Caenorhabditis elegans: one gene and its partners. The protein of the gene in region 1 purifies or fractionates together with the protein of each later gene. This does not show direct contact. Each region holds a gene or a part of one and is shown on either strand. Other genes may lie near its edges.

Region 1 (6,762 bases):
AACATAATAATAATAACAAGAAAACCTCTCATTTTATCTATCTCTCCTCTCATTATTCTTATCATCTTGACCTTATACGTCTCCCATTTCCCAGTTTTATCTCTCTCTCTTCAAATTCTTCCGATCCAGAAGAACCAAAAAATTAATGGAATGCCATTTTCAGATTTTGGCCAGAGCTTATTTTTAACAGAAAACAATTTTCCTTCTTATAAAAACGAAAATTCATAATTTGAGAAGTTTGAAGAATTAAAGATTCTAGTTTTGACTTTAATTAATTTTAATATTTATTATCAAAAAATAAAAATTATAATTGTGTAACTTCCCGTTAGTTAGAGTGAAGAAATTGGAATACCTTCAAAAATTAATTAATCTACATACTAAATAAATGTATTAAAAACTCTCGGTAATGCCTATAACATATAATCCTCGAATTTTAAAATTTAAATTAATTTCTCAAAAAAAACAGTTTTTTTTAAAGTTTCGAAATCCTTCAAACCCGAAACGGGCAATAAAATAAAATATAATTTGATAGGAAAAGGGAGGCTTTTTCAATTTTAAATGGAATGAGCTCAATGTCCAAAGAGGGCTCATCGTATTAGAAATTGAAATGAAAATAAACGAGAAAAAGCTGAGAGGAAGAGAAGAACACACACAGACGCAAAAGCTCACGGAGCTCTCGCGGAGCAGCTTCGACGTCTTCTTCTTCTATTCAGTTTAGATAGAGTGATTGAGAGACGCAGATATAAAGAGAACATAGAGGAGAGTGTCGCGATTCATCGCCTATACGCACGCCAGTAGAACGGCCTCTGTCAACTGGCTGATGTTTTCTCTGGGTCTCGTCACTTCTATATGCTTCTATCGATCATTTATATGTTAGGGAACGATGGTGAAGAAGGAGAAAAAGGAATATGCATACATGTCTGCGCCTCGTTGCCTTTATTGATACTTTATGCAAAAAGCGTGGGGATTTGAACGTTCGAAGGATTGCTACGTTGATGACAACTTTTGGAATCTGTTTTAACCTAAATGTATGTTCGAATACATCTAGGTCAACATTTCACAGAAACAAGATTTGAAAAAGATGGAAATTATTTAAAAGTTCGAAAAGTTTACCAATCTACAAAAATTGCATCAAACCTAGTATACTTTCTGAAATAAATATTTGAGTGAAACCTATCTCGGTTTCCACGTGTATACCTGTCAATATGTACAATTTCCAAATTGACACCATCTCGTCAGAATTTATCAGCAATCGAGTTTATTGTCTAAGAAAATTATTTTTATTCTACTCGGGAACATGACATAGTTTGAATTAGTTATACACTTTTTGAGTCCATGCGTTCATTTTTTCAAATTAATCTTCAAATATAGGAGTGTTGAAGCGTACATAGCTCCGTAAGTTGCTATTTATCCTATTGATAATTAATATAAATGCATGTGCCCGTGATTTTTCCGGCTATTTTTTGAATCGTTCTGCCAAAGATGTTTTCAAATGCATCGGAGAAATGTTATATTTTCAGAAATATTTCAGAATGCCTTTAATTCGTCAAGGTGATACACTTTTGCTTGATTTCAGGATTTAGTGATACAAAAATGGTCTAAATTCACTTGAATTGTTCAAATGTTCGATAGAGCGCATTTGCAAATGCCTCACATAGCATCCGAGAGAAAATGCATTCGGGGAATATGAGCGCCCTGGAAATGTTTGCTTCCTATTACTCTTTATGTGTTTTAAAACTTGTTTTATTAATTAAAATTTATGTAATAGCTTGTTTATCATTGAATTAAAACAGGTATTATTAAATTAAACTGGAAATATCCGGCGTGTTTGTTTCTTCCAAAAATGTTTTCTCCACTCACCGCAGAGCCTCCCGGAAAACTTGAATTTTATTTTTTATAAATTTATTTAAATTATAATAAAAATTTTGCGTTTCTTGGAATTTTCTCTTAGTTTTTCCAAAATTCAGCTTAAATTTAATGTTTTTTTCAGAAGGAAATGAACCAAGATGCAGTTGCGAAAGCCTTGTTGGGAATGGCGGAGGCACTGCGAACGCAAGATCCTCCGAAGTTAAAAATGGCAATTAAATGTGCAAGGAGTACGCTAAGCATGGAAATTTCGGATGAAATGAAAGCGATTTGCAATCTTCAGCTAGGAAAATTATTATTTTTCTACACTGATAATTTCGAGTTGGCTAAAAATCATCTTCAATGCGCTGTAAGAAAAAAAAACACTTTTTCGAATTAAGTTATGTTTCATATTTTAGTACGATAAAATGTCGGCGATGGGCACATTTTACACGAGAGACAAGATGAACGCCATTTCAATGCTTGCCGATCTTCATATTCATTGTAATATTCAAAAGTTTGTGTATATTGTTATTCAAATATATTATTTTCAGACCAACAATGGCCATTAACCTCTATCAAGGCAACGATTCGTCACGAAATTACGACGACACGTGGATTTCCAGCTTTATCCAACAAATTGATGTTTCAATTAATTGTTAGTGAAGTTTCTCGAATTTCCTGCAAAAACTAGAAACTATTCAAAAGCGAAAATAATTTAACAGATTTTGAGCGCCTTTCAAAAATCAAAAAGAATTAATGATTCAAAATTAGTGTCTAATGATTATTATTCAGGAATTAATGAAAATCGATAAAGACGTCGAAGGAGCCATCGAAATGTGTCAACTTGCAATCAATAGTTCCCATGCTGATCCAAAAATGGAATTATATTTCCGTATTGCGAAGACTCTTGTAACTTATCAATTAATGCACGAAGAACCTGACATTTCCGATGTAACGAGGATTGGTTCAATGATTAAAGTAATGGAGAACAGTACAACATCTGATAAAGCACATTTGGAATGTATCAAGGATTTCTATGTATGTACTAAACTCGCGTACATGTTCTACGAAGGAAAATCTCGAACTTCCCGGCAACTTTTACGACAAATTCAAAAATCACAAACAAGTGGAGAGACTAAGATCCATGGCATCAGGTATATGAACTTTGTACCGAATAAAATAATTAAAAAAATGCTTTTAAAAAATTTAAAAAACAATTCGAATTTTTCTTTGAAGCACAATTTTTGTATAAACGAAAAAAAACTTTTTAACTTGCTTTTTTTTGCTTTTTTCGGAACGAAAATCTCAAAGAATTTTGTAAACTTGAAACGTTATTTTGAAAAACGATAAAAATATTATGGTCAAAAACCCTAAAAATTGTGTTTGAATCAATGAAAAACACGGAAAAACGACTCTAATATGCAAAATAAGGTGATATTCGAGAAAAATAACTTTATTTTCGTCTACTGTGGCAAATTTTCAGATTTAAGCAGATTTTTTTTCGAAATTTTGAACTGTCACGAAAATTTTAATAAATTTTCAGCATGAAATTCTCACATTTGAATTCATTTTATATTCAAGAAAGATTCAAGAAAGAAGTTAAACTCCTGAATATAATGGAATCTAGATTTTGTATTAAATTCTCAGTTTTCACATTTTTGGCGTAAAATGTGAAAAATTCTAAAAGCTCTCATTTTCTCCAGAACAAAATTTAAAATTCCATTTCATTTCCAGATGGCTCGGCGAACCTTCGATAACTTTACTGGCATGTGTAATGAATCAAATCTGTGCTCTCGTTCAATCAAATACGGATCGTGTTGAGAAATATTATCATCTCGTAATCAAACACGCCGATGAGATTATATTCAAATCAACTCGATCACCACAAGAACCTGGAGTTGTTCGATGCATTAATATGATTAAAATGACAACATTGGAAATGATGGCATGCTGTAATGTATTAGCATGTAGACCACAAAAAACATTGCATAATGTTCGAGATATGTTGGAATGGTCAAATCGAACAAGTGGACCACTGCTTACGCGATATTTTACACCACATATTCATTATATTTTGGTAACTATTTATAGATTCCAAGCTGAGCTGGGGGAAGCAGTTATTTTCTGAAATGCTATAAAATTACCTATTGCGCCATACATTTCATTAGAAAAATCAATTGATTCATCTGAAAATCTAAAAATGGCAACTATTCAAGCAGAAAAATTCGAGAAAGTTCTCAAAAATGACCTGAAAGCCGTCAATTATCAAATTGTAGAATTTGCGAAAATAATTGCTATCCAAAAAACTTATAATCTTCAGGGTCTCCAATGCTGCTACTTCCGACAACATGAAAATGCTGAAAACCACTTCCGTGCGGCAATGAAGGTTTTTTTTTCAATTTAGCAAAACTAAAAAAAAGTATCAGAAAATTTTTTGAAAACAAAAGAGATATACGTAAACTTCGGATTTTCAATTAAAAAAAACGGATTTTCATTTGAAACATTTGAAAACAATTTTCGAAGCGAAAAAAGAAAAATTTGGTTTTCCTTCAGTTCTCCGTAGGTTTTTAAATTAAAAATTCCTGAAGCTGAATTTCTTGCTGTTTTTCTATAAAATTTTCTATAAAAAAAGTTTTTTCTCTCTCCAATTTTTTCGATCCACTCCCAATTAAAATTAAAATTCGCAATATTTCCGTAACATTTGTAAATTTTCTATCAAAAAATCTGAACATCGCTAGTATTTATAAATAGTATTTATAAAGTAAAAAGTAATAGTAAAAAGTATTTATAAATTTAAGGAAAAATCAAAAAAAAAAGGAAATCAAATTTCCCCATTAAATTAAAATTAATTTTTCATCGATATACCCGCTTTACAGAAACTCCACAAAGAAGATATTACCGCTCATAATACAATGGCTCTTCTCAATTTGAATCTGGCAATAACTTATCTCAATCAACTGAAAATGGCCGATTATTACGAAGTTTCAGAAAAGTAAGCATTTTTCAGAAAAATCTACAAAAAAATGTTAAAGGCAGAGTTGGGTTAGTGAGGACTTTACTGGAAAACTTGAAAATTTTCTAGGACTAATTTTTTTTTATATTTTGAAAAAAAATTTCAAAATTAATTTTAAATTCCCGCTCAAGCGAATTTTAGGATTTTCAGCGGTTTCCGGCAAAATTCATTAATTTTTCTTGGTTTTCTTTGATGCTTGATTTGAAATATCGTTTGTCAAATTTGCAGACATAAATTTTCCGGAAACGACTCCAATTTAGACATTTCAATTGTTTTTTGTTGCAAAATTGTAAAAAATCGTTTTAGAAAATTAGAAAATAAGTTTAATTTTTATTTTATTCGGTTATTACGGCCCTCTATATTTTTGGAAGACGAAAAATTATTTTTCGCCCGAAACACGACAAAAACGAGAAATGTTGTAAGCTTGAAACGCTATTTCGCAAAAAGCACAAAAAAAACGAAAAAATTATATCTCCTCCACATAAATCTTTTTCAGCTTAACTGCTCCGAAAATTTCGTCTTGCTCCCAAATGCTCAAGAATAATGTGAAGCTTCTATCAGCATTCTTCGCTTATATTACAAATAAATTGAATGAATGTAAACTTCTGAGTCACGAGGTTCTTGATGATTCAAAAGCAGAAGATTTCTTTCGTTTACATGGTCTTGGTCTTCTTCTTTTATCACTTGTTACTGATGTTGATGAAAAAGGAGTTCGACCAACTGTTGATTGGAGCAAGAAATCACATGATCATGTTGTTATATTATTCAGTCATTCACTCTACGAAAAAATCTTATTAGCAGCCGGATATGACCCTAAATCGGAACTAATGAAAATGGTGGTCAGTGAACAATTGGCTTCAAGACGGATGTTAAGTGTTGAAAATTTGACTCCTTTGGTAGCGAACATGCCAGCTTCTAAATTGCTTCAGGTGAGAGATCTACAGAAGTTAGACTTTGAAAAAAATAAGCTATGAATTTATTCAATTCTAAAAATATTCACATTTATTTATATTTTGTACAATTTTGAAATTTCAGAAAGAAAAGGTTGTAAAGAAGAATTTCATTAAAAACAAATGAATTTCACTTTTTTTTAAAAGTGTTCCCAATATTTCAGTAAATTTAATTTTTTCAGTGGTTCGACGGAGATCCATTCAAGCTGCTTCCTCGCGACGAAACTGTTCTATAAAGTTTTTGTACAATTCCCCCCAATCATGAAAGTCTGTCACATTTTGATAGGTTTTTATCCTAATTTTTTCGCGTTTTTCTTTCCTATTATCAGTTTCGTCCCCCTTAATCTCAATATGATTCTTTAATGATCTCTAATTTATGGCCTTATTTTTCAACTGATGTTCGGTAAAGTTTGTTTTTAATTATATGTTTTGCAACTTTTTTATCCTAAAAAATTATCATCTAATTTCAATAAGTTTTCATATTCATGGAATAGTTGTCAGAAAGCTTCGCCAAAATAATTAACTATCGTCTAGGATTTCCTTGTCATTATTTTTGCACAACCTATTATATGGTACTTTTGGAGGATCTCAATGCTGACGTAAGATGATGCAATATCCTGAGATGTTTTTGAGCCATTTGAGCATTTTTAATTGGTTACGACGCTATTATTAGCGGGTATTTGGCTCACCATGTGCTAATTTGATATATTATACTGAAAGGAGTTACTTGACCTGTTTTCGTGCCAATATTTTTCCCAACACATGTACCATGTAGACGTCACAAGATGAGAAGAATGACGACGAGTTACTGTATCAATTTATGAGCCGCTGTGCATAATCTTGAATGAAAAATAAATCTTTAAAAAATAATAAAAAATTGCACCCCGTAAATCGGCACAAGTTACAGTATCTCATTTCCTGCGTGGCAAGACCCATGCGCGTAGGAAATGA
Region 2 (6,590 bases), on another chromosome or scaffold:
AACGATCACCGACTCCTGCCGCCTCGTGGCCTCGAAACGTGTGAGAGAACAACGGAGAAGCGGACATACATCGACCAACACGTCGTCATCCGATTAATTTTCGATTTTTCTTTTTTTTTCAAATTTTATTTTATTTTTTATAAAATAAAAATTTATATGAACTATCAATTGTTATTAATGAACCGCAAATTTAAAATATATGGCGAATAATGGGGGTGGCAGCTAGCTGGTCACCCGACGAATATTCGCATGACGCGGTTTACCTGTGTTATTTTTTGTAGTTGTCACATTTATCAATTCATTTCATCGTATTACGCGCATGGCAGATTTGGCGCAATGGATAGTGATGATGAACGAAGAGCAAAGGACCAAGGGATCGAGATAAAGAAAAATAATGTTAAGAAGCTGCAAGAGTCTGCAGAAACATGATAGAAAGCTGCAATACCTGCAAGCGCTTCGATTTGTTTTTCGCGCTTCGATTTGTTTTTCACGCCAAGTTTTGCCAACCTCTGCAGATTTCTGCAACTTCATAACAGTTTCTTGCAACTTTATATAATTGTTTTTATTAAGTTGCAGAAGTTTGCTAAGAAGCTGCAAGCGTGCGCTATAAAGTTGCAACGTTTTACCGAGTATTGCAGTGGGAAGTGATCTAATTTGAAAAAGTCTCAAAATTTTCAAATTTGTCAGCGGAAACTAAGCATGACGTCACAAACATTACTGGAACAGTTTTACCCTTATTGAACAGTGAAGCCACGCCTGTTGTGGTCTGTTGTGGAGTTTCTAAGCGCAATTTATCACATTTTACAGTCTATTTTTGATGCCAACTACCTAGCACTTGTGTTTCATGGTCTTCATATTCTCAGTGCCTTATTTATTTCCATCCGTTCAGCTTAAAGGTTTCAACCTATAATTTTAGGCGTTCTCTATCATCATCTTCCCCCGTCCATCCTCCGTTTCTCTCATCCTCCATATGTTCTCTTTTCAACAAGTATTCCATATCTACCTGTCTTCTCTATTTCCATTCCGCGCCCGGTTCATTTTTCTCGTTTATATTTAGTAGTGAAGCTGAATCAAAAAGTCAGTTGTCATTTACATTCACATCAAAGAGTTCTTTCCTATTTTTGGGTGGAAGAAGATGAAAAAGAGGGCAAGGTTGACGTCAATATGACGGAGATTTTTTTGTTTTGAAGAGATTATTTATTTTGAATATTCAGATATGTAGGTTGGTTGGAATAATAGTTTGAAATTTGAATTTCTTCTAGTGAGCCTTTACCACTTGAAACTATTGTAGATAAGAATGTCGTTTTCGAACGTATTATGTTGGCATTGAAAAACCTAGAATTTTATTTGAACTTATTGAATGTATAAATTCCTTTTAAAAAATTTCAAAATCTTCAAATAGCTCGAAATTTCTCAACTATACTTATTTTGTTGCCGCACATTCAAACTTTCTCTGAATGCGCATTCACACTTTGCCCATCATATTTTCCTTTTTCAAAAAACACCGCTAGTAGAAAGGAAATAGTTGTGATCTCAAGCACTGTCTTAAAAAAAAACCCCCTACAAACGGTGATTGCCGAGTTGCCCATTGAAAACAAAACTCTCTTCCACTTTTTCTCTGTTCTCTAAATCCCTAACTCTACTTTCTGCCGAGCACTTTTTCATTCGGTTACCATGACAATTTCTTCATCTCCTTCTTCTCTTCCTCTTCTTTTTCTTTTTCTTCGTTCAACTATTCTAGAGCCGCCGCCACCACTCTTTCCGTCTACTCCCACACCTTAATCGATGCTCTCTTTTTTACTTTTTCTTTTTTCAAATAATATTTTCTTTCACTTTCCAAAGATTTCAGCTGACCACACGGGTACCATTCGGAGTTTTGCACAATGACCGACGATGTGGACACGCACATTCATGAGAAATTCGACTTGCAGGTTAGTTGTTTTGTATAATTTATTTTCACATTTGGGAAATGTTTTTTTTTGAGATATATAAATTTTCAAGATTAATAAAAAAAATTATATTCACCAAAATTCAATTTGAAATACTCGGAGCGTGAGTCGTTGCTGATTGGCAAATTTCTTCCCAAATTCAAAGTTTTTCTAGCTTTTCTGGAATTGTTGTCTTTGTCTGTTTTATCCACGAATACATATAAGTATGATTATATATAAATAAATATTAAAAATAGATTTATAATAAATATTGCAAGTAGCCCAATTGAGCTATGTAAATTGGAAAAAAAAATAGGCCCCTGTCTCTAAATATCAGGGGGGGGGGGGGCTTGCCACACAAGTGAGACTAAAAATCATAATTTTAGAAACGTCTCGGAAAAGGTGCATATGGAATTGTGTGGAAAGCATACGACAAGAGGTCGAGGGAGACGGTGGCTCTGAAAAAGGTGAGATTTCTTAACCAATTTTCATAAATAACTGTTTTTTTCAGATTTTCGACGCTTTCCGAAATCCGACAGATTCCCAGAGGACATTTCGAGAAGTGATGTTTCTTCAAGAATTTGGAAAACATCCAAATGTTATAAAGTTGTATAACATTTTCCGAGCAGATAATGATAGGTGAGGTTGGAGAATTTTTATTCTTAGCTTACAAAATAAATATATTGTTTTCATATTTTATGTCTTCAAGGGTCATACGCAGGTAACTGTCACTTTTTAAAAGTAGAAAGAAATTAACAAAAACAAATAACTTATGTTTACACACTTGATCAGACTTTGATCGGATTAAAAAAAAATAATTATGTAATTGCAGAGATATCTACTTAGCATTTGAGTTCATGGAAGCTGATCTACATAATGTTATAAAAAAAGGGTCGATATTGAAAGATGTCCACAAACAGTATATCATGTGCCAGTTGTTCCGAGCAATTCGATTTTTGCATTCTGGGAATGTGTTACACCGGTGAGTACGAGCAGTCTGGAATTGTAATAGTTCCGTTCTATATTTTTGATAACATGAAGCCTGAGTTTCCCTTTTTCTTTCTGAATTCGTAAAAGTATTGAAATTTTAATGGATCATCAATCACATTAGCTATAACATTCCTGATTTCCATTTCCTGAATGGACAGCAAAATAATCACTTCCTCCGTCTAGATATGGAATCTTCATAGGAAATAAAAAAACGAATCACGATAACTTCCGTCATGATCATCATCATATTTTTATTATCAGTAAACAGATTTAATCCCCTTCGCTCGAGATTTATTTTTTCGACAATTGCGTGTCAAAAATTGGATTAGAAGAGGTTGTTTGGGGGTGGAGGAATATGATTAATTTTGTATACTGGCATGTCTGGAGAAATGTAGAAAGACGGCTATATTTAATTAAGCGAACAGTTTGAAAATCCCGCGCGACTAGCGTGCTTGCGACCAATCAGCGGTGTCAGTCACGCCCCTCGTATCATTTATTGGACTGTGCTCACATATTTTCTGCATAAGTTTAGTTATCAAACTAGTCAAAAAAAACATAGTTTTTGGTGGCGTTTTTCTTGATGATTGATGAAAAAATGGGAATACTTTTTATTAACTATAGAGCTAATATTGCTAGTCCTCATGTGCCGTCATTTCTACAAACACGGTTTTAGAATTTTTCAATTCTTCTAAATTTCATATAACTGAACCTCGTCATATTTCATAGACAATCATGTATTTTGTGCGGAATTGCAAAATTTATAAAAATGGACCGGAAGTCTGTACTTCCGTTATTTCGGACGGAAGTCCTTACTCGAATCTATTCTTTTTGGTCTTTTATCTTTTTTTTTAAATACCGACCATTCAATAGTTGCACTTTTTGTTAAATTGTTCACGTGTTCAATGTGGGTCTTTGCAGGGATTTGAAGCCATCGAATGTTCTACTGGATGCAGATTGTCGTGTAAAACTTGCAGATTTCGGATTAGCGAGGAGTCTTTCGTCGGTAAGGGTTAACCAGTCCAATAACAACTTACCTGTAGCAATAGTTTGTTTCATTTACAAGCCAGTTACGTGCTCGTTTCAACAATCTTGCTTTTTCAGCTTGAAGATTACCCTGAAGGCCAAAAAATGCCGGATCTAACAGAATACGTGGCAACAAGATGGTACAGAAGTCCGGAAATTCTCCTGGCAGCCAAAAGATACACAAAAGGAGTGGATATGTGGAGTTTGGGATGCATTTTAGCTGAGATGCTGATTGGTTAGTGATATTTTTAATTTTCTAACAAATTATTTTTTAATTCTCAGGACGTGCTCTGTTTCCGGGATCTTCGACTATTAATCAAATCGAACGAATAATGAATACAATCGCAAAACCTTCAAGAGCTGATATTGCAAGTATTGGAAGTCACTATGCAGCTAGTGTGCTTGAGAAAATGCCTCAACGGCCGAGAAAACCACTTGATTTGATTATAACTCAATCACAAACAGCTGCGATTGATATGGTTCAGAGGTTTGTTAAGTAATTGAATTAGTATTAATTAACCTACAACAATTTACTATTTTTTGGAAATGTGCACAAATTATCAAACTTGTAAAATGTATCGCGCTGTTTGAAAAATAACACATAAATTTATTTTAAATTCCAAATTTTCAGATTGTTAATATTTGCTCCTCAAAAACGATTAACCGTTGAACAATGCTTGGTACATCCATATGTGGTACAATTTCATAATCCATCAGAAGAACCAGTACTCAACTATGAAGTTTATCCACCACTTCCGGATCATATTCAATTGAGTATTGACGATTATCGTGATCGATTGTATGAGATGATTGATGAAAAGAAGGCCAGTTTTAAGAGGATACAACATGAAAAGATCCGACCTGTGGGTAATTATTATAATATGTGCATTGGGGTTTTTGGGTAATCTAGAAATTGCTTAACTGATGGTTTTCCAATCTTGAAAATTTAGCCGAAACTAGTACACATTAACCATCTAGCATAACACTAACTGATTTTAGTTTTTGTATATTTTCAGTACGGCGAAGATAAGAGTCGTGCTCCGATTGCTCAGGCTGAATGCAGTGATACTGATTACGATACGGCAAGAAGCTTACAAAGAACAACAAGCATGGATAAGAATAATAGTAGTTCGCATGATAGTAGTTCTGGAACTTTAAGAGGTAAGACAGCATGGTAAATATATGGCTAACAAGTTAAAGTTAAAAATATCTTTTAATCACATAAATTAAAATTAAACTGCTCGAGACTCACAAATTTGATATTTTTATGGTATTTTTTGAATAGGAACCTTTCGTTTGGTTTTTATGACAATTAAAATGCCACAAAATTTTCCAAAAACCAATTTTAAAAAACGCTTATTCAAAAGTCTGGATAAAAGATAGTGCGTAAAATTTATTTTAATTTAAAACCGCCATGGTTCTATCTATAGATAACTTAAGAAAATTAATTTTGAATTTTGCGCGAATTAAAGAAAATAAGTTCACAGTTCCCACTGACAAGTTTTGAAAAGTTTGAATTTCGTGAATTTTTTTTTCAAAATTTTAATTTTAATTTTTCGGTGGAAAAAATTTGGTCGGTTCTCTAAACAAAACTCCACATTCCACATTTTTTGGGCACTAGTATCTTACAACCAAAAAATTAATTCAATAAGAAAATTTCAGAGCGAGCCGCTTCAGCTGAAAGTCGAACCTCAAAAGATAGCAACGGAGAGATGAGAAATGGGAATGGGAATACTCCAAGTAGTATCAAGCAACGTCGTCGTTCTGTCGAAAGAGCTCGATTATTTGCAAATATCAAGCCTTCCAAGATCCTTCACCCACACAAATTGATCTCAAATTATTGATTTTTAAAAATGGAAGTAGACTTTTTTGTTCTTAGATTTTCAGTATTGTCAGGAGCAGCCCTCTCCAGACAATTCTGTAAAATGTTCAACTAATGGCATTATTTAGTGTTTGCTGTTTCATTTTCTTCATTCTTTTTTCCTTCAAAACTAGTATCATTGTGATGGTTGTTTTGCGGTTATTGACCAATTTCTCTAGTCAGTTCTTACCATTTTTTGCAATACTTTTTGAAAATGCATTAAAATAATTATAACTAAAAATATTTATTGAGTTCAATAATAAACGGGTTGAATAAACTTTCTACAAATTTTTGATTCGGGTTTTAGATATGGAGTAGCGTCAATATGTGTATTGCTTTAAACAGCATTGGAAAATCAAATTTCTTTATGAGGCGTGTTTAAAAATAATTTTCCAGATTCAAATGAAAAGTTAACAAAGTCTAACTTGTCGTCGCGGAATTTATTAATTTAATTAATCCGTTGAAATATAGCCCCGTTCTATAGATGTTTCGAACCACCGACATTTTTTTCATGCTTTTTTTTTAATTTTTGAAACCTTTTTTTTAATTAAAAAAAAGTATCATCTCGAAATTCAGCTTTTCTAGGAGATTTTATATATTTTATGTAAAAACATATTAAAGTTCTGAAACGTTTAAAAGTCGATCTCGTTTAAAAGTCAAACTAAGAAAATTATCGATATACATTTCAAATATTTATTTTTTCTATACCGTAAAGCTTGAAAAATGTTCCCCTCGTTTTCTTTACCTAATACTTTTTTATTAAATTTGTTTCGTAAAATAATCCACCC
Region 3 (5,008 bases), on another chromosome or scaffold:
ATTAGGATTACAAAATAAAAAGTACATTGGAAAATTTTTTTAAATAGCTGTAGTTTTTAAAATTTTTTATATTTTGAATTGTCAAAAAAATTTACAAACGGTTGTTTAAATGAAACTACACACATGTATTCCTTAAATTGTTCTTTGAACCCAGTGAACTGGTGTTTCACCCGCATTTATAAGTTATAAAGTCAACAACAAACTGACCAGAAAACCAATAGTACTAGTACAACATTTTTGTGAATTTCTAGAAAAAAAAATAAATTTCTGTTGGAAACCTCTGGAAAATTAGAATTCGTAATTTGACAACACTTTTTGCTCATATTTTGGTTTTGTTTTTTAATTTCTAATATTTTTTGTTAATTTGTTTTTGAATATATCTAATCAATTTCCAAAAAATAAAACATCAAAAAGTGTTGTAAATTTTTGTGCAAGACAAAATTTGGGAGGATTTTTTTCATGGTTTCGACCATTTATTTTTATCCAAATTCGATATTCTCAAATTATTAAATTGCTTGGTTTGGCTAAAAATGAAATTTTATACATTATCTTCAAACAAATTTGAGTTGTCTTGCATTAAAGGTGGCGTAGTCAATTTTTTTAGATTGATTTATTAGAATCAAAATTGTTTGAAAACACCGAATTTTATAATGAAACTTCTTGAAAACTTTTCAAAAAAAAAGTTATGACGGGTAAAAAAATGGCCTAAAATTAGTTAACATTTGAAATTTGACCGACTTGTCACAGCGGCTGAGATCAATTTTTTTTAAAATCACTTTTAAAAACACATTGTATGTATACTCAAAATTGTCCGGAGATTTCAAATAAAATTGTTTCCAGCCGCTGCGACATGGACAATTCGGTCAAGTTGCAAATTTTAACTAAATAGGCAATTCTTTGAGCCGTCATAACTTTTGTTTTGAAAAGTTTTCAAGAAGTTTCATTATGAAATTTGAGTTTTTCAGACAATTTTAAGTCTAATAAAGCAATAAAAATTCGACCACCTTCAAAAAGAGCATTTGATTTGTGTCAATTGTGCACTTTTGTTCCTACTCCGCCAATTTTGTGCTCGTCTCCCCTTTCAACACACATCGACACCAACATCGACAAAAACACGTCATTATCCATGAACACACATGTGCTCCACCCCATACACTTCCTATCTTGGCAAGATCAGCGACATTATAGTCACCAGCTACCTACAAACTTGCACACAAATCACATTCAAAACACACAAATGCGCTGTCACCTAGGGGTCCTCAGTCTGTCTTATCTCATCACCGTTTTTGATCGACACAGGAGACCAGGAGACTGCACGCATTTTGGTGGTAACGTGATACCATTAGTATCACAACAATTGCTCTCGCTTCTCCTGCTTGTGTACAATTTATTTGCCCGTTTTGTTGTGCTAATGATTTGATTTTCGAAAAGAGAATTAGTTTTTGTGATATCAAGTTCAGTTTGTGTGTATTCCAAAGTTTTGTGACTTTTTTGAAAAAGTACGAATAACTTTTTTATTCTGAAAAAAACTCGGTATTTTTAAAGTGAAATTTTACAAATTCAGACAAGTTATATCAAGTAACAAAATATTGTCGGAAAAGTGCATATATTTCGCAATTTATTATTATAAAAACTTAAGAAATTAAAAAGGTATATATTTCGTTAGCCTGTATAATTTTGCACTGAATTTTTGCTCCCTCTCAAGCTGAACGTTTTAGGTTTTAAATTGTTCAAGTTATCAGGTTTTGTAATTTAGAAAAACCTAGAAAAAAAATCATAAAAATTGCAGTTAGCGCGGCAAGACCCAGACGCTTTCCTTGAGAATTTTAAACTTAAAAAAAAACAATTTAAAATTGTTTAAGCCTTCCGAACAGTCATTTTTACGAAATTTATTTTTTTTAATTTTCTGTCTTTTTTTTTTTTGGAAATATTCAGCTTCTAACTCCACTAAAACTTTCAAATTTTCAGATGGAAATAGACCAGCTTCTCAACTCCACAGGTCCACCTATAAGTATAATTCTCCCTAGCAACTATGTAATCGTCCCATCCATTTTCTTCTGGATCCTAACACCTGTTATCATTCACGACTGCAAAACTAGTCGCCAGACACCTCTTCCATGGTCAACACTGATGAGCTTGAAATGGGTAAGCAGAACTCTGTGCAAAATCAGATAAACCACTCTATAAAAATTTGTAGTTTGTCGCCAGTTTGCTGATCATTGACCGATTGTTTGTATTTCTTCTCGCTGTATGGGAATCTCTTTTTGAACACAAAAATGTGACGGCGGATTTGTTCATCATACCGTTCTTTCATAGTTTCACATTGGTAAGTGCCAGATGGCAAGATTAAATTGTTCTCAAATGAGATTCTGTGGAAAAAAGTGTTTCAAATTCGTTTTCGATAAAGATAAAATTTGAGTGATATGTATTAAGTTTGTGTTTTGATGTGAAGTAAACTTAGAACTAATTGGAATTTTTGGAACATGGTTTAAAGGAAAACTAACGGTTTGGACAGTTTTGAACGTAAACAATTACACTAATTTTAGTTAAAATATCAAATTCTGCCTACTTCTCTGTCCCATCTGCCCGAAGTTCATTTTTTTTTTGGAATTAACATCTTTTATTGCATATTTTGGTAGTTTATCTCTTTCAATTTTGCCGATTAAGGTACATTTAAAGCCTGTGGTTACCTATCGGCTTTAAATATTCTTTAATAGAAGAAATTAATTGAGATAAACTACCAAAATATGCAATAAAGAATGATAACTCCAAAAAAGTCAACTTCAAACAGATGCGACACAGAAAAGTAGGCAGAATTCGAGATTTTAGCTAAAATCAGTGCAATTTATTCAAAATTTTGAAAAATTTTCGAGCAGTTTCATTACGAACTTTGTTAATATGAGCCCAATTTGGGTATATAAGTTGAATATCGTCCAAACCGTTAGTCAACAGAAGAAAAAGTGTCGTGAATTGGTTGCAAATGAAAGTTTAAAAAAATTTCAAAAAAAACTACAATGTCTGACTAAATTTCTGTTGCGGACGACATCGGCCTTGCATCTATTCAATTTGTTTTCTACATGAACAAGAACTTGGGCTCCCAGCTAAGTGAGGCGCGAAATGCCGCGCGCCGTTGTGTGTATGATAGAAGTGCGAGAGGTCGTTATTTGAAGCGGCCGACACGTTCGGAGTTCCGCAGCTCAACGTGAAATGAGTAGCTTGGTGTGCGCACACGTTCGGAGGTCCGCGCCTCACTATACACGAGGGGTGACTCGGTGAGGCCGGCGCGGCGACCGCTGAGGCCGGCGGAGGCGCCGTTGCGGCGACCGCATGGGAACCCTAACAAGAACATTGCAAGATTCCGATGTTGAATTTAATCCTTATAAAAAATGCAAATTATTTTTCCAGCTTGCCCTCCTAATCGCCACAAATGAGGTTCGTCGGGCTGGAATCCACTCCTCTGGACCACTTTTCTGCATTTGGATGCTTTTCGCAGTGGCTGCAGTGCCCGAGTTCTATCAATGGATGACAACAGGCAGCCAGCCAGAGGTACGTGTGTATTCACCGAATTGTTTATATTGAAGCATCGAATTTCCAATTGCAGCTTGTTGCCCGAATCGACTTCTTCCGCTATGTAGCGTACTTGACGTACTTTCCCTTGGTAGTCGCCGAATTTGTACTACATTTTGTGTCTGATCCGTTCCCGATGCCAAGGGGTTATCAGGTGTGACTAGAGAGATATGATAGGAGAAACGTTTTAGGGAAAATTATATTTTAGAACTTGAAATGCCCGGAAGAAAATGCAAATTTCATCAGCAGGCAGCTATTGCTTTGGTTCACACAAATCATTTCTCTAGGATATGAAAGAACGCTTGTGGCGGATGATGTTTTTGAAATGGATAGTCAAATGGATCAGGAGTACCTGAAAGCTCGATGGAAGACAGAGTGGCTGAAACAAACAGAAAGTATGGTAGTTTGATTTTCAAAAATTTATTTTTAGAAATATTTAAAAAAGAGGTCAGAAAATTGTCACTTTGTTTGAAAAATTATTTGAAAAAATTAAAAATGTTGATTTTTAATGTGAAACGTTGCATTGTTAAGAAAAATAAATCTAGTGTCAAAAAAACTACGGAAGAGCCTACTAGCCAGGGGTGCGCGGTTCGGCAATCAAATTTTCGGCAAACTTGGCAATTTTGGCAGTGGCCGGAATAGCCGGTTTACGAATATTTGCCAAAACCGGCAATTGCCAAAATTGTTGATTGCCGGAAATCAAAATGGCCCTAAATATAATTTTTATACTTTTTGTAGAGTTAAGAGCTTAATCATGCATTTTACTGAACAATTTTTTTATCAAGCTCAAAATTATGCAATCCTTGAAAGATTGAATGTTTTCTGTTAGAAAATGACTTAACGAATACTAAAAACAAAATGAAATTGTTGAAATTTCCGAAATTGCCAACTTTGCCGATTGCCGAAAATTTTCATTTTCGGACATTGCCAAAATTGCCGAAAACTTCCGATTATTAAATGTACACACTTTTCCCATATTTCATTGGCTATTTGAACGCTTTTAGGTCTATTTTATCCAAAAAATGAAAATTTTTCTGACAATGTTTTTCTGGTCCGGCAAAACGTCGGTGCAAGATTATTAGAGAGTGCTATATTAATAGAGGAAAAACGATAATTTCTTGACATTTAGAAGACTGAAATTTAAAAACAAATAAAAAAATAAATATCAAAAATTGTGTTGCTTCTATTCAAAAAATCGATAAAACTAGATAGTTAACACGGATTTTTCTGAAAACTACGGATTGCAAAGATTTTTTCAGAAGCTCGTGAAAAACAAGTGAAGCTCGATGACAAACGAGAACGAGCCAGAACTGGAAGCGAGAAAGCCCCACTTTTAGGTACTTTCAATAACTATGGCGCAGTGAATCTTGATGATAAAGGTTAGTATTTTTTTCGTAATAAAGGTTAAAATTAAAATTTCAGATCGAGTAATTGTTCAGCC
Region 4 (4,893 bases), 1.6 Mb from region 1:
TAGGAACACTGCTGTCGTTTAGGTGACATCTAGGAAATCAAAGTTCCAATTCGAATCGGCTTTTCGTGAGATATTCTATCAACTAATCTAACGTGGGCCGCAAAGAGAACGCTAAAAAATAAGAATGGTAATAAAGTGGTTCTCATATCTGTTTGATTACTCTAGAATTTCATTTTGATCCCCTCTAGATCAATTGAGATTTCAAGAACACTTGCCGCCTCCAATTACCCAGCAGGTTACCCGGAGACATGACGTCCGCAATGCGATAAACTGTATTCGTTTTTCTCCAATCAAATCTCGGAAAGGTTATTGCGCCATCTCTTTTGCTTCTTTTGATTGAGACGGATGACATGCCGACATTACCTTTGGGTTATCCGTTTAGGTGCGCTAATCCCACAAACAGATCGCGCAAATAATATAAACTGCCATGAGAACCAGTGAAAGATGAGCCGAAATTATCGAAGGCCACGTACAAAATAGTTTTAAAAATATATATAGCAGCATGAAAACTAGATTATAGCCTTGACGCTAAAAAACGGTACTCCAGGCAAAAATATTAAAAGAAAAAACCGATTGAAGTAATGACAATTCAATGCGAATTTGGATGTATTGAAAGTTTTCGTCCAACACTATTTCCCAAAAACCTCTACAAAACCAGAATATGACGGTATTCGTTCGTCGATCACACTTTTCACTGTTGGTCAAGTACTACTATTACTACTTCAGCTAGCCGGACAAGAGAACACAGAAAAAAGAGGAATAGTGCGTAATTCATACATATACCATACATTCATAACAGAGACGCAAATGACTCATGGATACTGTCGGGTTTTGTGAAAGAGAGCAATGATATTTATACAGGTACGTACATCCTACTTATTATATGCAAATAGAGTATTTTGGTGGATCTAGAATATTGAAATTTAGCTAACAAAACCGTCCAATTTCATCGCAGAACTTTCTATGAAAAAAGTGAAAAGAACCACAGGAATAACTATATTGCAAAGAAAGATGGAGAGGAAAGTGAAAAATAAATATTTTATTGTTGGCCATGAAAAAAATCAGAACAGAACGCAGGCCATTGACGGGAATATTGGAAAACGGAGAATCAGCCGGAAATATTATTATTTTTTCATATTTTGACGCACATATATTTTGTGTAAGTTAAAGATCCCAAGTGTTTTATGGACATCATCTAAATAGATTGTGAGTCTATCCACGCTCTAGTTCCAGTTATGTTCAGAAAAGAAATGCCAACACGAAGAACGGGATAAATAACAATTGAAAAAAGAATTCATACTTCAAACTGAGACATGTCAAAAAACGAATGGAAACTTGAAGCAGAAGAAGCCAAAGGAGTGGATGTAATTATGTAAACGAGTGACAAGAAAAAAAACTATACGGAATCTGGGAAACAGCAAATTTTTTTCGAAAAACAACAATACTAACTGGCTTCATATACTTTCAAAGAGGTAATCGTGGAAATTACTCATAGATACCGTACCCTAGTTGTCATTACAATTTTTTTGATTTTCCGGTTGTGAGCACACTTCAAAAACATAAAATTTTCTCCTATTTTCAAATCATATTTATAAATAAGAATTAATCTTCAAACCAAACAAATACAATGTTTTGATTATCTATGGAGATGGAAAATGAGATGAGCCATTTCGGTCTAATGAGCACGTGCTTTATTCAACTGATATTTTATTTACTGACATTCCTATCGGATTTCAATGAAAATAGAGGATAGTTTTTAAAATTGAAGATATATGTATGTTTCATAATTGAGCTATTGAAAGGCTAAATTAATTTTTCAACAAAGAACGCACAATATTTCATAATTTTTCGAGTTATGGCCCCGGAACGAGAAAATCTGAATTTCCAAAATCTTTCAACATTTTTAAGTGATATTCTCAAATAAAAGTTCCTAAATCTTCAAAATCCGTTCACTTTTTCCTCATCATTATCGCACCGAAACCGGGCTTCATCCTCTTTTCGCTGTCACTTCATCTTCGAAAACCGTATCAATTATAATCTCGTCGCGTCCGCTTGTCCACACACTTCTGGCTTCTTCTCTACTGCTTTCTGGTCATTATATTCATTCTCTTATTAGGAAGTGAAAAGAGAGAAATAATGTTTCTCTTCCATTCCAAGTTCCTCTCTCTCTCTCGGTACAAACTTCCTTGTTCGTGTAAATCGTTTGTATTTCTACACAAAAAGGGAATCACTAACGGTATGTAGATCTTGTTATTCAATGCGGGAAAGATGACGGAAAGGAAAATGAGAAGAAGAAGAAGAAAGGAGAAGGTTCGAGAATAAGTTAAGAAAACTTGTAGAATAACAAGTCGTTCACCACAGGAAACCGGTTTTACAAAATCGGAAAGGATTACATTTATGTACAGATATTCGAAAGTTTAGGGGATTTATAAAATTTATGATCGATACGAAATAGTTCTAGAATTCACGAATCCCTTTTAAGACAGAAATTCCATAATTTTTTTTGAATTTTTGCTATCGAGTATTTAGTGTAAATTATCCATTTTCAGCCCAAAACTGGCTGCTATCCGTTGACTAAAATAAATGTCAAGAGCTTTCTTTCACTGAATGTGGGCGGAAATGAATGCAGAAGCGAGCAGCAAAGAAACAGTGAAAAAGAAGCTGAAAAGGGAAGTGAAAATATAATTTGGATTGAGGAAACGAAAAGATGGAAAGAAAGCGAAACGGGGAGAGCAGCTAAAAACGGCTATTCCATAAACAGAGCTAGAATTGAAGAAGAAGAGGAAAAAAGAGAGAAAGTCCTGAATACTGGACTCTTTAGTGGAGGAATGACGCGAGCATTTGAATTAACAACGTCACTTCGTTTGTTTTTTTTTTGTTGGAAATTTAAATAATTTTAAAAGATAAACATTAACTGAAAACCCACCTTCTTCAGATTTATGGAGAAGAGAGCGTGGCCACGTGGCAAATTTTGAGATGAGAAGACCGCTTGGGGAAGTTTCTGAAAGATTTGAATGGATTAATATTATATTAATCTGAAAATAACGAAGAAAACACAAATTCAACGTAAATATTTGAAAAAGAAGCCTCGACAAGTACCGTAATGCGTTTCTAAAGGCGCACGGATTTTTTCGGATGGGTCTCGCCACGAGAAAAACAATTTGCGGAAACTTTTGCGGAATTTTTTTCAAAGTGGACACTGAAAACACCAACAAAAAATCATTTGAATAAATCTCTGAGTTTCAGAAAATTGTGAAGGATATAAAAATTATTATGTCCAATTGCCTTTTTTCCTTTTCCATATAGTTTTCTGAATTTTTGGAGACCCGAAGAACTCGGGGGATGTCCTATTGGGGGATTACCAACTCGGGGGATTGGCCCCGCCCACAGAACCGTGGCTTGCAATACGCCCATTTTTGCAACTGCCGCACGGTTTTAAAATTATTTTTTCTTGTTAATTCTCGCTCTATTGAGAAAAATACAGTTTTAAAACCGTGCGGCAGTTGCAGAAATGGGCGTATTGCAAGCCACGGTTCTGTGGGCGGGGCCAATCCCCCGAGTTGGTAATCCCCCCAATAGGACATCCCCCGAGTTCTTCGGGTCTCAATTTTTGTATGCTCGATTTTTTTCTCAACAAAATAATTTTTCTTATTTACACTTTGTAAAGTTTATAAAATGTACATTTACTTAAAAACCAGAAAAATATTCTGAAGATTTAAAAAACGATGTAATTCTTTAAAATCTATGATCTGCTGATTAAATCCTAAAAAAATCCTAAAATTTTCTGTTAATTAAAAGGTCAGGCCATGTAGCCACGTATCTAGGGCAAGGTCATGTAATTTTCATGTTTTTTGCTTCATCAAAATTCGATCAAACACGTATTCAAAGTCAACGAAAAATAGAATTTCACCTAGTAATTTCGATTTTTCTCAATAAAACTGGGTTCGTGGCACAAATAGGTCATTTTAACTGAGTGATGCTAAAAAACGATAAGGAAAAGGCGAGGTTTCTGGAGTTTTCAAACGAAAGTGACATCAAAATGCTAGCAACATTTTCTCCAAAGAATTTTCGAGAAACTATAATGAAAAATGTCACACAGAGAGAGCATTAGAAGAAACGATAAGATACTAAATCAAGAGAGTTTGAGAAATTAAGAGACGCAGAGAAAACCAATGGTTTTTCTCAGTTCGTCCCAGTAAAAGTCCGATCAAATCAATCTTTTGCGAGCCGTCAGAGTGCTCCGCAGATGTGCTCAGTGTGTCTATTGGCCAAATGTCACCATCAATTGACCCTTCAAAAATGTTGAGCAACTGACTACAGAGCTCATTCCGGAGCAAGAAAAAAAACATAAATAGCAAATAGAATATGAGTCATCCGACAGGTCATAGTAATGAATGAAATATTTTCTCAGTGCAATATAATTTTATTCATACTAATTTAAGGATCTAAATACATAAAAATTTTCAGACTATAAACAGAATTGAATAGTAGGTAATTGGGAAGAAATTGGACAAAAGAATACTGTAGAAAATATAGTTCATAGAACTTGAATATTGAAATCATTGTACTTGAATCTAGATCTTCTGAACAATCGAGACCCCAGTCATTTCAGCTGGTTGAGGGAGTCCCATAATAGCGAGAACTGTTGGAGCAACATCACAAAGGGCCGGATGACGGTCGGCTGGCTGTAAACGTGTGAAGTGAATAGCTATTTACACCCGTTTGTAAATTAATATTTTCATTTAACATATGGGTTTCTGTTTTTTTTTAAATAAAAATTTCAAACGTTTGACAAAAACTCACATCGACAAATTTGAATCCTGGATGGCTCAAAGTGAGTGGAACACGGTAACATGTGTGAGCAGTGTGTTTTCCACCATCTGGAGCCTTCAT

What was found.
Region 2: the proteins of mau-2 (region 1) and mapk-15 fractionate together in Caenorhabditis elegans (co-fractionation; one large-scale study listed by BioGRID). This does not show direct contact.
Region 3: the proteins of mau-2 (region 1) and mrp-3 fractionate together in Caenorhabditis elegans (co-fractionation; one large-scale study listed by BioGRID). This does not show direct contact.
Region 4: the proteins of mau-2 (region 1) and let-607 fractionate together in Caenorhabditis elegans (co-fractionation; one large-scale study listed by BioGRID). This does not show direct contact.

What each region holds. Positions count from the first base shown.
Region 1 is NC_003279.8:8,123,811-8,130,572, forward strand, and holds mau-2 (Maternal uncoordinated protein 2), read left to right. Parts: upstream 1-1,990; 5' UTR 1,991-1,996; coding exon 1,997-2,215; intron 2,216-2,264; coding exon 2,265-2,349; intron 2,350-2,399; coding exon 2,400-2,503; intron 2,504-2,640; coding exon 2,641-3,002; intron 3,003-3,582; coding exon 3,583-3,925; intron 3,926-4,168; coding exon 4,169-4,234; intron 4,235-4,724; coding exon 4,725-4,840; intron 4,841-5,357; coding exon 5,358-5,790; intron 5,791-5,993; coding exon 5,994-6,047; 3' UTR 6,048-6,231; downstream 6,232-6,762. UniProt on the Caenorhabditis elegans protein: Plays an important role in the loading of the cohesin complex on to DNA. Forms a heterodimeric complex (also known as cohesin loading complex) with scc-2/SCC2 which mediates the loading of the cohesin complex onto chromatin.
Region 2 is NC_003281.10:6,066,008-6,072,597, forward strand, and holds mapk-15 (Mitogen-activated protein kinase 15), read left to right. Parts: upstream 1-1,849; 5' UTR 1,850-1,883; coding exon 1,884-1,931; intron 1,932-2,314; coding exon 2,315-2,395; intron 2,396-2,439; coding exon 2,440-2,567; exon of another isoform or gene 2,568-2,572; intron 2,573-2,760; coding exon 2,761-2,910; intron 2,911-3,836; coding exon 3,837-3,921; intron 3,922-4,019; coding exon 4,020-4,176; intron 4,177-4,223; coding exon 4,224-4,428; intron 4,429-4,572; coding exon 4,573-4,804; exon of another isoform or gene 4,805-4,808; intron 4,809-4,957; coding exon 4,958-5,102; intron 5,103-5,603; coding exon 5,604-5,785; 3' UTR 5,786-6,079; downstream 6,080-6,590. UniProt on the Caenorhabditis elegans protein: Atypical MAPK protein. Regulates primary cilium formation in sensory neurons and the localization of ciliary proteins involved in cilium structure, transport, and signaling.
Region 3 is NC_003284.9:15,936,283-15,941,290, reverse strand, and holds the start of mrp-3 (ABC transmembrane type-1 domain-containing protein), read left to right. Parts: upstream 1-1,966; 5' UTR 1,967-1,968; coding exon 1,969-2,145; intron 2,146-2,197; coding exon 2,198-2,326; intron 2,327-3,405; coding exon 3,406-3,546; intron 3,547-3,601; coding exon 3,602-3,721; intron 3,722-3,775; coding exon 3,776-3,962; intron 3,963-4,826; coding exon 4,827-4,946; intron 4,947-4,989; coding exon 4,990-5,008.
Region 4 is NC_003279.8:6,572,112-6,577,004, reverse strand, and holds the start of let-607 (CREB-H transcription factor homolog let-607), read right to left. Parts: upstream 3,002-4,893; 5' UTR 2,927-3,001; intron 1-2,926. Other genes in the region: ipgm-1 (2,3-bisphosphoglycerate-independent phosphoglycerate mutase), read right to left, coding at 4,575-4,685, 4,804-4,893. UniProt on the Caenorhabditis elegans protein: Probable transcription factor, required during migration of the gonadal distal tip cells (DTC). Probably regulates cell adhesion of DTCs via modulation of expression of genes involved in integrin-mediated adhesion, including tln-1, src-1, and integrin pat-2.